Tribolium castaneum: one gene and its partners. The main gene of each other region encodes a partner of the protein of the gene in region 2 in a complex. Links are inferred from orthologs where the notes say so. Each region holds a gene or a part of one and is shown on either strand. Other genes may lie near its edges.

The links. Proteins that work in one complex are often made in the same cells at the same time.
Region 1: Mks1 (region 2) and B9 domain-containing protein 2 share a complex: the UniProt entries of both Homo sapiens proteins name them as parts of the tectonic-like complex. The link is inferred for Tribolium castaneum from reciprocal best matches to the Homo sapiens genes MKS1 and B9D2.
Region 3: Mks1 (region 2) and transmembrane protein 17 share a complex: the UniProt entries of both Homo sapiens proteins name them as parts of the tectonic-like complex. The link is inferred for Tribolium castaneum from reciprocal best matches to the Homo sapiens genes MKS1 and TMEM17.

What each region holds. Positions count from the first base shown.
Region 1 is NC_087394.1:33,824,462-33,829,673, forward strand, and holds the start of B9 domain-containing protein 2, read left to right. Parts: upstream 1-1,903; 5' UTR 1,904-2,142; coding exon 2,143-2,230; intron 2,231-2,378; coding exon 2,379-2,504; intron 2,505-2,557; coding exon 2,558-2,840; intron 2,841-2,886; coding exon 2,887-2,920; 3' UTR 2,921-3,245; intron 3,246-3,296; 3' UTR 3,297-3,527; intron 3,528-3,581; 3' UTR 3,582-3,735; intron 3,736-3,788; 3' UTR 3,789-3,988; intron 3,989-4,036; 3' UTR 4,037-5,212. Other genes in the region: serine/threonine-protein kinase VRK1, read right to left, coding at 104-489, 540-1,010, 1,059-1,353. UniProt on the Homo sapiens protein: Component of the tectonic-like complex, a complex localized at the transition zone of primary cilia and acting as a barrier that prevents diffusion of transmembrane proteins between the cilia and plasma membranes.
Region 2 is NC_087401.1:10,812,505-10,817,826, reverse strand, and holds Mks1 (tectonic-like complex member MKS1), read right to left. Parts: upstream 3,369-5,322; 5' UTR 3,306-3,368; coding exon 3,229-3,305; intron 3,185-3,228; coding exon 2,807-3,184; intron 2,759-2,806; coding exon 2,533-2,758; intron 2,485-2,532; coding exon 1,951-2,484; intron 1,356-1,950; coding exon 1,119-1,355; 3' UTR 1,076-1,118; downstream 1-1,075. Other genes in the region: rhomboid-related protein 2, read left to right, coding at 3,536-3,604, 3,650-4,122, 4,170-4,698. UniProt on the Homo sapiens protein: Component of the tectonic-like complex, a complex localized at the transition zone of primary cilia and acting as a barrier that prevents diffusion of transmembrane proteins between the cilia and plasma membranes.
Region 3 is NC_087395.1:14,181,227-14,185,099, reverse strand, and holds transmembrane protein 17, read right to left. Parts: upstream 1,847-3,873; 5' UTR 1,795-1,846; coding exon 1,713-1,794; intron 1,669-1,712; coding exon 1,565-1,668; intron 1,515-1,564; coding exon 1,401-1,514; intron 1,290-1,400; coding exon 1,017-1,289; 3' UTR 1,010-1,016; downstream 1-1,009. Other genes in the region: glycolipid transfer protein, read left to right, coding at 78-231, 287-342, 405-523, 568-718, 769-951; ankyrin repeat domain-containing protein 27, read left to right, coding at 2,217-2,239, 2,424-2,618, 2,672-2,837, 2,885-3,014, 3,074-3,224, 3,273-3,504. UniProt on the Homo sapiens protein: Transmembrane component of the tectonic-like complex, a complex localized at the transition zone of primary cilia and acting as a barrier that prevents diffusion of transmembrane proteins between the cilia and plasma membranes.

The DNA.
Region 1 (5,212 bases), on a different chromosome or scaffold from region 2:
AATAGTAATTAATAAATTTTAATTATAAAAAATTTCACAAAAACACCTCTAGTTTTTTCGTAGGCTACGATTCAAGAACACGTAATTGTAGTTAAACACGTACCTGAAATTCCAGTTTCTGAATATACTTAAAATATTCTTCCAAAAACTTAGGATATTCACTGAAACAGTAATTCATGAAATACTCCACATCAGCCATAGCTCTTTGCTTTTTTTTGGCTACGATTTCCGGGTTGTCTGCATCACCAGCCCATGGCAGAGTCCCAGTCAGCCAATAAATAATATTGTACCCCAAAGACTCCAAATCTGAGCGTCGCGAATGCACCCCCTTGTGAGCATCACGCGAACAAAATAAAACAGTCCCAGCGTGAGCTTTACGTTCGTCAACGCAAAACGGTTTATGTTCGCCATTTGATGTTAGAAATTTGGACGCCAGACCGTAATCAAGGAGATAAATCTGGTCCTGTGTTGTTGTTGGTTTTTCATACACTGAAGTAAAATGATTAGTTTAATGATTAACACACATTACGACCAATTACCACAATTAGTGAAGATTTGATTAAAATTTGGTATGTCGTCGAGATAAAAGGCGACTTTAGCGTTCGGCCTTAAGTTTCTAGTGATTCTGGTTGGTTTTTTGCGACATGCACGGAGACGGCTGGTGAAAGTGTAGCCGCTTGATACTCGTGTGCAGCCGCTTGACACTCGTTTACAGACGGTTGGTTTGGGCTTATTTTGGTTACTTAGAAGAATATTAGATGCCTTGATATCGGAGTGCATGTAGCCTTTACTATGGATGTATTCCAAAACATCAATTATTTGGAGGGATATTGTGAGCACTGTTTTAAGGTTTAGGATTTTCTTCTCTTGGAGGACTTTTTCCAAGTCTCTGTCAAATTTCGGGAGGATTAAGAAACGATACTTTTCACCCTTGTGGACGTGGGAACCTGACGCCACATAGTGGGGCATTCCGAGGGAACTTATATTCTTTGCTCGCTTCCACTCTTCAACTAGAAACGATTCCAATTATGCGATTTTTCCGCAAATTATTGACTTACTCATTTCGCGTTTAGCAATCCTTAGGTAACAATTGACTTCGACAAAAAGCGGCCCGTTTTTATGGCTTTCCACCTTAGCCACGTACTGACAATCAGTCTTGACCTCTTTGGTGAGGACATCAGAGGCCAGGTAGATCTCCCCAAAGCCCCCAACACCCACAGGTTTCCCCAATTTCCACTGCTTCCCTGTGATGTCTTTTAGGTACTCCCCATGTCTTAAATCAAAGGAGTTGCTGCAAGTCTTCTTTTTGGGGGGATCATTCTCCGAAGAACTGTTGTTAGCACGTCTCGGCATTATTTTAACGAAAGTGTGAAGTCTATAAACAATCTACAACATGGAGGCTTGAGATTTTCGCTCGGTTTCACTTGAGATACCTTACCCTGCCTAATTCATGTGATTACCCAAACAGAGGACCCTTCAAGAAGAAACGTTTTTTTTATGTAAATAACAACAAGATTTCAAAATCAAACGACATTTCCCCAATAACCTTATCATTTACATAACGACAACAGCAAGGTCAAGTGGCACGTCCCGGTTGTAAACAATAAGAAACAATACTTACTTTTCATACAACAAGTTAGAAAAGTGGTAAAAACTGTTATTTTGCCAAAAATCAAAAGGTGAAAGAAACGTCACTGACAATTTTCACGGCCATCTTCACGTTTCGCTCAATTGAAACGCCTCCTGATTTGTCGATAGCGCGCACGCGCACTGCAATTTCTCACTGCTTTTGCGCACAAGTCATTAAATAAAAAACGGGTTTTTGCGAAAAGAAAATTAAATTTGGGAAAAAGACTACCAACAGCCTTGTTGGCAACTGATGAATCACTCATTTTGTTGTCTATAACAACAATAATTGCAAAGAATCCAATTTGTTGTATCAAGTCATGGGAGGCTTATTTTTTATTCCTACACAAAACTGACCCCCGCCCTTAAAATATTTGAAAATCGTTGCTAGGCAACCGGAAAACAGTATTGTAAACAAAAATATTGTTTTTATGTTTGGCATTTTCTTCAGGTGGTTCTTTTATTTCAGTTTTGTTTGTTGTGAAAACAGTTATCATTTGATGGTATTCTGGCCTTATGGCAGAAGTGCACATAATTGGGCAAATAACTGAAGCCAAAGATTTTCCAAAGCAGAATTTGTTCTGTAAATGGTATCTCCAAGTAGGTGAGGTTCTCTTGACTTCTTTTCTTGATTTTTGTATCAAACAGACGCTTATTTTGCCTTTTCGATAAGTATTTCTATCGTTTTAAGACTAAAATCGACTGCTCTGTCAGTCAGTTCATGTTTATTTTTATTATTATAAAATTTTAAGGTAATAACTGGAAAGTTATTTCTGGGAAGAAGGAAGGTCAAACTCAAGTAACATCACCTCAGTTTGGTAAAGTTTGCAAGTGGTCTTATCCAATAGATATTCACCTAGCCACTGCTGGACTTCAAGGTTTATAATTTTTCAAAAAAGTCGTTTATTTTTTTAATGAGTCCGAATTTTAGGTTGGCCTAAGATTTATTTGCAAGTTTATCACTTAGATTGGCTAGGCCGGAGTCACATTTTCGGTTACGGTTTCATAACAGTTCCTACAACTCCCGGGACCCATATTTTGGACTGCTACACTTGGAGACCATTTGGTACAATAAAAGATCGTTTTGTGCAGTATTTTCTGGGAGGTGGGTATCAAATAAAAAATCCAGACTTGATCTTCTCTTCGGGGGAACGTTATAAACTCTCTACGGAGGCTATGGGAGTTGTTTCATTTGAACTGTGTGTTGTACTTAGGTAATAATAAGGCACAAAACAGTAATAATGACGAGTCCTTGTTCAGAAATTTCAGCAATTATGGAGTGGAATATGAGTAAACTACTTAACAATTTACCGACTGTTTTAATACTGTGCGTTTTGTTAAAAAGCACAAGTTTAGAAAATGTGACCACAACCCAGTCAAGTGAAACAAATGTTAAAAAGGGCACAACGTCACCAATTGTGTCCACAACCGCTGTTCCAACAACTACTTGCAAAGCCAACAGTTCTTGTTTTGCAAATTCAACTAATAATTCAGTAACTGTTCCTCCAACTCAACAAACAACGGCTTTAGTCACAACCCCGACTCCCGCGAGCTTTTTTCATTTTCATATAAAAACATCGGAACGATCAAGCAAGAATTTGTGTATTTGTGATTTAACTGTAAGTATCTATATGTTCCCTAATAAATTATATTTTTACGCATGATTTTAGATCGACTACTGTGATCTGAATTGCTGTTGCGACAAAGACTGTTCCTTAGAAAATAAACTTGTGTTTGATCATTGTGAAGAAGATTTCCGTCAATATGATACTAGATATTGCCAATACGTAAAACATATTTACGTTAATAAGACACCTCATGAGTTTCAAATTAACCAAAACGGACTATTTTGTATTGTGCGTAGTAATTTACCAGCAAGTTACATAGTCCAAAGAAAGCAAGTAAGATAAAGTCTTAAAAAAATCATAAAAATAATTTTACAACTTTAATTCCAGCCGTTGAAGTCATTACAAGATGCTCAATTCGAGAGACAAAATAAATTTAATTGGCCAAAGCCTACACATGAAGATAGTCAAATATTCAATTATTTCAACTATACTTATGGAAAACCTTTATTGATTTTAAGAAATAACACAATTGAAAACTTACGTTAGTCTCCAAATCTTAAATCAATAATCTAAATAACCATTTTTCAATCGTAGAATTTCTTAAGAGTTTTGTGGTAACTAGTTGCGTGGTCAAAGAAGATATAAAATATTTAATTGACGTCAAGAGCAGCTGTAGTCATACGAACATATCCGCAGATAATTATTATCTAAAAGCCGACACATTTTTCAGAAACATGACAATAATTGCAAATCCTGGTTTGCTAAATGTGTCTAAACACAAAAATTTTCTCAAGGTAGGTACTATACTTTTATGGAAACCAAACAGACTTATTCCTTTCCAGAATTGTACAAAAGATGTTTGTCTAAATGTTCGGCCAAAAATATGCAACGAAGACTTTGAAGACTGCGTCCAAATATCGCCAAACGACACGAGAATAAAATCGAGCTGCAAAGTTAACATTGCAAACAACGAACTGTTTTGTATTAATTTAGTACAAAACGTTAGATACAATTTTTATCATAATGGTAGCAACGGTTTGATAAAAGTCGAACTTTACTTGATTCTGAAAAGTGCCACTTTTTATTACCACCAGGAAATGGAGTTTTCCCAAACGATTGAAGTTAATTTTATTTGGTGGAACCATACTTTGAACTATTCATCGCACCTTAGTGGAAATCCGGGATATTTAGTTGGCAAGCCAATCTTAATCGCAAATATCGTTTCTATAAATGTTCCTATAAATAATACGAACTCGACTAGCAATGCAACAAGTTACAAACAACAATTACAGCTATACCGAAATCCTTCGGATTTTACCGAAAATTTCCTCGTTTTGCCGTTTGTAAATTCAGAGGGTGTGTGCGTTCTAAGTAAACACAAATATACTCCGATTGAGTTCGGTTATAATATGTATCTAAGATGCGAAATTAATGATTATATTTGGATCAAAAATCTCTCGGCGAAAAATGTATGCATTGCCGTACAGAACACAGTATTCAAATACTGGGCCTTAAAAGTAACAAATGGTACATTAAGTAATAGAGTGATTGCACTGTTCGGTAACGCATACATTTACAATATTGGCGATTGGCTGAGACCAATGTTTGAAAACGATCTTAATGACATTCTAAATCGAACTTGGGGCGAATTTGACCTTCAAAATAAATCTCTCAAATGTGGTAACATCACAACATTACTTATAACGGAGATTTTTCATGCTAGAGTTGATTTCGACGACATTATCAATCAGGAAAAGATTTTAGCGACTACCTTTCAATTTGATAATTTTCAAAACTTTACTTTTGCTTTAAACCAAACTTTACGGTTTAATATTAAAGTAGGTGCACAAGTTATGTTTCACGACATCACTACTAAGAAAATGAGGAAACTCGTTGATCCACCCAGTCTGAAAATTCGCTTGCCTCATGATTTCTTTTACCCTTTCGTGAAAATAGATAATCATGGTGTTAGGCAAGCACTATTTATGAATGTAATAGTACTAGGATTGATTTTTGTA
Region 2 (5,322 bases):
ACAGGGTGGGTTATTTCGGGCCGAATTTACGCTTTAAACACTCGGAACACTATTCTATAATATAGATACCGCCATAACCCGACATCTTGGTTAAACTTCGAAGCTGAAACGAAAACAGGTCCGGATGAGTCGATCTTTTCCAAAGGGGAGGACGCATACTACAAGCGAGATGAAGCTAGACGCTGGCCGCTACTATCACCGACACACCGCCCTCCGTCTCACTACGGCCAAAAACCGACAATTTGGCACAAAACCGCACTAAACCAACGCCAGATTCACCAAAAACAGCCAAAAACAAGCACTCGTGGCGAATTTGGGCCAAAAGCGGGCCCGGAATCGGCCAAAATCGGCCGCAAAGCCAAGCACAACAAAGCACGGTAGGTCGCGACTCGCACCGGACGCACAATACGGTTTAGTGTATTCCGGTTTCATTTTTACCCGTACTGGCAGTGGGTGCGAGAGAGACGGGCGATTTTAGACTGTTATATTAAAGGGGATATGCCAACACGACGACGAAAAAATTACGGCTTAAATTGACTCGTTTTTCGCCCAAAATAACAACAATGTACACGTTGGTACGCCTGGCCCCAATCCCGACTTGGGGAAGTACCAACACAATTGCAAAAACTACCAAAAAGAAAAAAGAGTTGCCATGGCCGCCTTATCGATCCGGTCACAAATAGACGAATTGTTTAAAAATTGAAATTATTAGTCACGTGACGAGAGAAATTACAGGAATGGATTTTATCGATGGCACCCCCGAAGGAGCGACGTGTCAATGACTTGCAAAATAGGCGACTGTGTTACAATTTGAGACAGGTTCATGAACGGGGGACGCGTGGCAACAGGGCGGCCGTGCCACGGGGACCTCGCTAAGACTCGAGCGGCACTTGAGCCCCCCAGAGCATCCCAAAAGACAGAGGGGTGAACTGGAAGCCAGTTCCAGGCACACCATGGGGCCAAAGCCCAAACTTGGGGCTAAAACATGGATAAAGACAGCCCGAAGTCGCCCGATGTGACCCGAACCGGTCCGATCGTCCCTCGCCCAGATATATCGATTTTGGTTTATACCTAGTGCGGCGTTGCCACGTTTATTGATTCTCAAAATAAAACAACAATTATAAAAATTTCCGGGCCGCAATCATGTTTTTTCGGGCCCTTTTGAACGCTTGGAGCACTTGCTCCACGCTTTTGACCAAACTTGACGAGTTCAATTTTTCGAAAATTTCCAAATTTTCCTCGGAATTTTCTCTGTATTTGTCCAGAAACGCCTGGCTTTGATGGACGACGTGAACGGTCACGCTGATCAGACCGGTACCAACCGTGTTAGTCCCATATTTATTTAAAACAGACCCCTGGAAAAAAAATTTCCTTAGATAAGCTCGCCATTTTAAGCTGAGCTTAAACTGCAGTGTTGCTCAGCTAAGCCGCGCTGAACTTAACTTTGCGGTTGGTAGTACTGCACGCTTGCGCACTTATGACAGTTCTGATTTTAAAAAGTTAGGTTAAGATTCATTAATGTCACCATTTATCAATATTTCGGTACATTGTAGCAATAATATCGTTATAATAAAAATCTTATGTTTAAAAATGTATCAATAAAATGCGGCATTTATTTATTTCATGTTTAAAAATTTGTCCTACAATAAAAAAAATACTGATAAAATATATTGATGGAATAAGAATAAGTGAATTATTATCATTATACTTTTTTTGCTGTTTTTTTTTTCATCCAATGCAAGCAAGTAACTTTTTGCTTTCTAGTGTTAGTTTATACTATTGAACAAAATTGACCAATTTCAACAAAATTATAATGTTATCTACAATAATAATTTATTAAAAATATTAGCAATAAGCCGAGGTTTAGTTAAACCTAACCTAAATGAGCAACACTCGGTGTCGGCTTAAGCCCGCTTTAAGCCTTAGTAACCTTTCATTTAGTCAACTCACATCGTAATGTTTCGGTAATCCCACCCAAGTCAAGTCACCATAGCTTGAACAATCGCCAATAAAAAACCGGCGTAACTGACCGGAAATCCGGTCGGGGATTAACCGGAAACATTGTAGGTTAAACCGGTAATTCCCCGGCTTGGCAACGGGCAAGGCCTTATAAGTCAGCCCTTCAGTCCTATACCGACTCCAAGTGTCCTTCGAAATAACCTCAAAGTAGATATAAGGGCACTTGGGGATTCCCCTTTTGCCCAAATCCTCGATATTGTACTCTAACGTAACGTCGAAAACGTGCCCGAAATGGGCCAAACCCTCATCGCCAGTCACGTGACACGTTTGCGTCACGCCCTGCAGTTGCGATTGGTCAGTCGGGGACCAATCCGACGGCAAGTCGATGAAATACTGGACGTAGATTGGTCCATACTCGAAATATTGCGCCCACGCGAGTTCCATGAACAAATGAACGGCCAGTTTGTTTTTGGCGGGAAGTTTGAAACTCAAACATTTCAAAAGCTCGGTTTTGTGGCCATTTATCTGCAAATTCTTTAAATAAGATAAATTCGGGGATAATACAACACACACTTTTCGGATTAATTCTTTTTCGCGACGGTGGGCTTCCTCAGGCATTTGGGCCGAAACGTTCTCAAGGAAATAGTGATATTTGCGAATTGTGGCGCCTTCAAGTCGGATTAAATACGGCTGGGATTTGGTAAAGTCGGGGTTAATTGATAATATTTTGTACTTCCGGTCGTATTTAACGACACACAGGACTTGTTCCTGCTTGAGCCAAGTCGAATCGATGTATTCGCTACGAACAAATCGCTTTATAGTCACTCGGACGTTTCGGGGGAATTACCCGAGGTCCGCCATGATGTACATGACCTCAAACTCGTAATTATGACCAATGGGATTTCGCACTGCTGCCACAAGTGACTGGCCGTAGTCGTACCCCTGGCCATTTTCGTCGCAATTTTCGCGGAAATTGTCATTAACTTCCTGTTTGAGGGCAAAATCGTCGTCATTGGTGTACGAAAACAGGTCAAAATGCGCCTCAGTGTGTGATTCCCCGACGTCCGAATGGTACTTTTTCTCCAGATCTGTGATACAGTTTTTTTCGTCCTTGTAGTACTCCCTTTCTGACTTGCTGAAGCATTTCTGTTGCCAGGCGAAGTCTTTCTGCTCCCAACCGTCCGAATCCTCGCCAGTTAAATCCCCCACTTGGCGCAACTTCACTCTTGAACCTTGAACTTTAATTGTGTACGTAGTGTCTTTACTTACCTTATTTTCAAGTTGGTGATGTCATCCGAGCACCTGTAAATTGCCGTGTATTTGACCAAAGTCTCCTCCTGACTCATTTTAAGTGTTTTACACGTGAATCACAACAATGACGTTAGCCGCGCGCCATTTTTCAAACCTGCCAGGCGCGGAATTCCCCCAGTTGGGCCCAAAGTTACCAAAACATAACCGTGTAATGATAATTAACAAAACAAAAGTGATAATAATAATAAGTGATAACATGTAGTAACACGAGTGTTAGTAACGTAAACAGTGATTGTGTGTGTGCGCCAATTGAGGTTATGTGGCCATGGCCAACTCGGAGACGCCGCTCCAAGCCAGCCGCAAAAACGCCTACTACCGCAGCATTTTCGACAAAGTGAGCCCCCCAGTTTAGTAGCAATCACCCAAACTGCGCTTTCAGTACGACCGGGACCATGACGGTTTTATCAACATCGGGGAGCTGAATGACCTGATCGAGAGCCGGGAATATGACCACGACATCCCCGAGCACGTCGTGCGGAAAATCCACCAAATGGCCGATCAGAACCACGACGACCGAATCGATTTCACCGAATTCGTGGACATGATAAACCACCCGGACCTCCAGTACGTTTTCGGGCACTATGTCAACAGGTACATCCAGATGGTGGTGCCCCGCCGACGGGGCGCCAGCGAGGTGGACGGGGCCTACGACGACCAGTACTCCTGCTACCCCCCGGCCGTGGGCATGATCATTATTTCGCTAATCGAGGTCATTTTTTTCTGTGTGGATGAGGCAATCGAGGCGGATTCGACCAAATCGGCCTCGGGCCCCATCAGTTCCGTCTTCATCTACGACCCCTACAAGAGACAGGAGGCTTGGCGGTTCATCACTTACATGTTTGTGCACGTTGGGTAATTAATCAACAATTGACCGACGTTAGCCACCCAATTAATTGCAGAGCCTTCCATTTGTTTGTCAATCTTTTGGTGCAAATTCTACTGGGGACTCCGCTAGAAATGGTGCACCGGTGGTGGCGAGTGCTCCTCATTTATTTCGCGGGGGTCCTCGCCGGGTCGCTTGCTACCTCAATCGCCGACCCCACCGTGAGACTTGCGGGGGCCAGCGGTGGGGTCTACTCCCTCATCACGGCACATATAGCCACCATTATAATGAATTGGAGGGAAATGTCGTTCCCCATCGTCCAGTTATTTATTTTTTTGATCATTATGGCCTCCGACATTGGGACCGCCATTTACAATCGGTATTTCCTCGAAATGGACGAACATATCGGGTACATGGCCCACTTTGCGGGGGCTATTGCCGGGCTCTTGGTGGGGCTCAACGTCCTAAGAAACCTAGAAGTGACAACGGTCGAACGGGTCATTTGGTGGCTCTCTATCGTCACGTATTGTCTCCTGATGGCAATCGCAATCATTTGGAATTTTGCCTGGCCTGAGTATTTTTTGAAAAGTCGGGAACGGATTTGAGGTTAGGAAATGACACAAAAGTGTAACAATTATTATTTTTAAGCACAGATTAGGTACAAAGTGACCAGTTTTTGCAGTATTGTATGACTAGAGGTTGATTTTAGTATTATTTTTGATTTTGTAAAAGTGGGGTTATGTCGGCGCATAATCAGAAAGTGTTTTATTTGAGCATTGCGCGAGCCCCCAACTCATCTGGACGGACTCGCAACCGTGTTTCAAGCCCCTAGTATTAAGGTCAGCCCCCTCAAACATTTTTTTGTAAGCAATTTAATATGCAAAGTAAAAGTGAGGTTATGTTTGACAATCCACGAAAAGGCCTAGTTATAGTATTTGCGGTGCCTTCCTAGCACAAAACTCTAGTATTTTTTATATTCTACTTTATTACGTCCAAATATTTACAACAATAAAAGACTTATTACTTGAGTGGATAATTGGACATAAAACCTTGTCCCGTCAATTCCATTATATAAAAAAACGCCCCCCAAAACACTATACACCATGCGGACTTAATTTTGCCATTGCTTGACGGTTTGTGGTCTTATTTTAACGAAAAATCGCTAGTAGGAAAAGTGAGGTTAGGTCGAAAAAATACCACAATTGCCCCCTTTTTAACACAAAAACGGC
Region 3 (3,873 bases), on a different chromosome or scaffold from region 2:
ACGACAGTAAAATCTACGTCACAAGACAACAACCGTTAGACCGTGTTGAACAAAATAAAATATCAAAATCAACGAAAATGTCAGTTTCAAACGGCGGCTTACCTTCCGAAGACTCCGCGACGATCTTCTCGACCCTTCCAGGCCAGTTCCCAAATTTGCTCGAAGACGGGGATCAGAAAATCAAAACACGGGAGTTTTTGGATGCCTCTGCCGGAGTTGTCATTTTAGTAGGTGCGAACATAACCTAAAAAATTATTTTTTTGGCCCTGATTTCGCACTTTTTTAGAACGGTTCGGTAAAGTGTTTACCCCGGTTATCTATGACATGAATGGGAACATTAAGGTAAGTCTGCGTGTGCTTTTACCAAGTAATAAGAGCTCACATAACCGCACTTTCTGTTTCAGAAAATCACAGTCAAGTATGAGGAAGACCGGGAAAATTACGAGTTTCTAGAGGACATGATACTTAAACAAAAAAATGTGGGCCAACTGCTTGTTGTGGACGCTTTGCAGTGGCTGCGGCGGTAAAAAGCCCCTTTTTGGGAGACTTATGCATAAATCGTTTCAGAGCCCTTCATTTCATTTCGCGCTTCTTCCAGTCTGTGATCGATGACTCCGACAATAATAATAACACGCAGGATTTGTCCATATTTGTGAAAAACGCGTACAAGGAGACTCTGGAGCGGTACCACGGCTGGTTGGGGTCTCAGTTGTTTAATGTACTTTCGTCATTTTTTCAAAAATTGTGGCTTATCCCAACAAGTTGTAGATTTTGTCACGGTTTACCCCAAACCGGCAACAGCTTTTCTACCAACTCGCGCTCGAGAAGCACCACAAGGAGGACCACGTTTTGCGTGATATGAGACAGTTCACGCTCAGGATGTCCTCATGTGTTCAGAAGCTGGTGGATTTCTACCAAGAGCATGATCTCGAGACGAATGATAGGGTCTAGTTGTTGTACTTAGAAATTTTATATTTGTTGATCTTCCAGTTGTAAATAAAACGTTTGGTATAGATTCATTTTTTATTCACTCGGTAGCGTTCTTGTACATCTGCAAGCGTCACATCTGATCTTAATTTCATAATGCGAAAGTAAATTGCTTGTTGCGCTGCCGTAAATTTCAAAGCACAATAGCTTGACACCAACTGAATGCATAACATCACGAACATGATACTTTGCACTATTATTTCTATAACATGCAATTTGAAGTTAGGATTGAATAACAGAAGACCTTGTAGAGGAAACTGGAGCAGTAAGGACAACATCCAAAAGCCCGCCAGTTCAGGAATCTACAATCTTATTTATTTAAATCGTCCGCAAAGTGGCCGTGATATTCAACAAACTGTGCACATGTGTAATATTGGTTGCATCTGCCGACTCAATTATTATCATTAACTTACTTTATCCTCAAGATTTCCCTTGTACCCTAAATAGAGTCTTAACATTTCCAAAAGGAAAACTGTCGAAATGACCGTTATGATAATAAACTTGTACAGTTCGCTAAAGCAGAGATACTGGAATTGGTATTTCGAGTCATTTAGTAGTTTTTCGTAGTTAGTCTTACTGTATTCCTTAAATAAAGCACAAGAATGGCCATCCAAAATGGCGCGAAAATCACGTTGAAATAGAGCGACATCTGCAGCGGCAAATTTGACATAACTTCGTTACCTAAAAAGCCTTAAGGAATCGTAATTAACCAGGCATGTTTTTACCATAAACAACATTATCGATTTTACGCGAAAGGCCTGGAAACACTTTATCAGACACTGACGTCACAGTTTCCTTCCAATCCATAATGAATATTTTGAGCAAACAACAAGGTCAAGATTATTTTTAATGTTCTGATTGTTAACAGATTGTTGGACATTTATGTCCTGAAATTGATAATCTGGTTTTGTTTGTATTAACTTGGGGTTGAGTTGCTTGGAAACCGTAATCAAATCCCCCACATTTGCTGGTATTGACCACTGCAGGTGTTTATTTTTGCATTTTTTTTAACTTTATTCTTTCTGTCCGATTGATGTTATTCTCATAAGTTTTAAGCTAACAAAAAAATGATCACAGATATGTATCGGAGGAAAATCTTCAAACAATAACAAGTGGTTATCCGAAAAGTTATCAGATAAAATGTTATTACGTAAGCAACGAAGGTCGTTCATTATTGTTGAGTACACATACCTAAAACAATGTGATACAAGCTACCAGAAATAATAAATATGGAAATACGAGACTTAAAACAGTGAGTATTTTTAATTTTAGCACCACTTACCTTTCGTATTTATTACCTTTAATCTTTTTTGAATTGTTTCATTTATTAGCTACTAGTTTACAATTTAAACAAAGTTTTATATTATCACAAATAAAAAATAGCATGGTCATTGTTGAGTCACTGGACTGAAAACTTATTGCTAAAATAATTTTAGAGCTGAAGAACTGCTTGTGAAATCAACACACGAAAACATTTTTGACTACATTGATGAAGAAATAGTTTCGTGGGATTTACCCAACCATGGGGATTATCCAGATCTGGTACCAAAAATAACTGACTTGGTTTACAAATTATACACAGAAATATTCCCGGAACAAAACAATCCCAGGAACTTTGCGGCCTTCCAGTGGTAATAATTTATAGGCAATTTGTTGTACTTGTTCTTTCATTGGTGATTTCAAGGATTATTTTTGATAAAATCCACGATTTGGTCGTGCCATGCATTAAAGCGAATTTGTTCCGAGAAGATGAAAATTTCTTCGAACGGTGCTCATTTTTGTGCAAAATTAACGTCTCGGCAAGGGAATTTGGCGCTGATGATAATTATAGTATCCCGTTATGTGCTGCCGTAATTGAAAATATTTTTTTAACTGATGCGTGTAATGTTTTTTTTAGGTTGTGGAATTGTCGGTTATAGACAAATATAAAAGTCCCAACGAGAAAATGAACTGTTTGTGCAGTACGTACGATTTAGTATTTGCGGAAATAAAGACAGCGATGGTTTCAGTAATTTCAGAAAGGTCAGGTAAGTTGCATCTTGATTTATTGTATGTACTAGGTTTTTTTAATTGTTAATAATTACAGATAAGGAAATTGAAATTCCCATTATTGACAACAAGGACATAATGCCTGTGCTTATGGTGGTAATTCTTAGGTCGAAATTACGCTACATGTTGAGCAATTTATTTTATATTAAAACTTTTTATTTAAAGATAGAAGAAAATCGAGAAATTTTGTAAGTGTTAGGCGTCTTTTTTATGAACTAAATTGACTGATATTTTAGTGATATATTTAAATCGTTTGAAACTGCTGTTGATAGATTAATGCAGTTGGATGTTGATATTATGAAGCCTATGAAAGGACTTTTTCAAAACAGTTTAGATTTGGAGGAATACATGAAAATTACGTCCAGCCCTGGAGAAGAAAAAATAGAAAAGGCAACTTTAATCGATGAAGCAAATCAACGAGTTTTGAATTTAATAACACGGTCTACAGGCGAAGATCAACTTTTTTAATGAAATAAAACGAACGATATTGTTTAATTGTGATGTTAGAAAAATAAACTAATTGATACATAAGAATATCTAGTTTTATATCCTCCTTTTTTATTAGATTTTTAGCATTAATTTCCAGCCGAAACTTTGAAAATGATTTTGAATTTTCAAATTTGTGCGGTGACGCTTTGGTGGCGACGGTTGAAACTAAATTCTCCCACCGCGAAACCGCAGATTTCTGCATGACCGACCAAATCTTTTCGGTTTTGCGCAGGCCCCTGAAAGTGTATACAAATTATGTGTTCACTGGGAGGGGTGGGGCAAAGGGGGGAAACGGCTAAAATAGTTCGTGTGCTCCAGCTTAGAGGTCGCGTCAGTTGCAAAGAAATC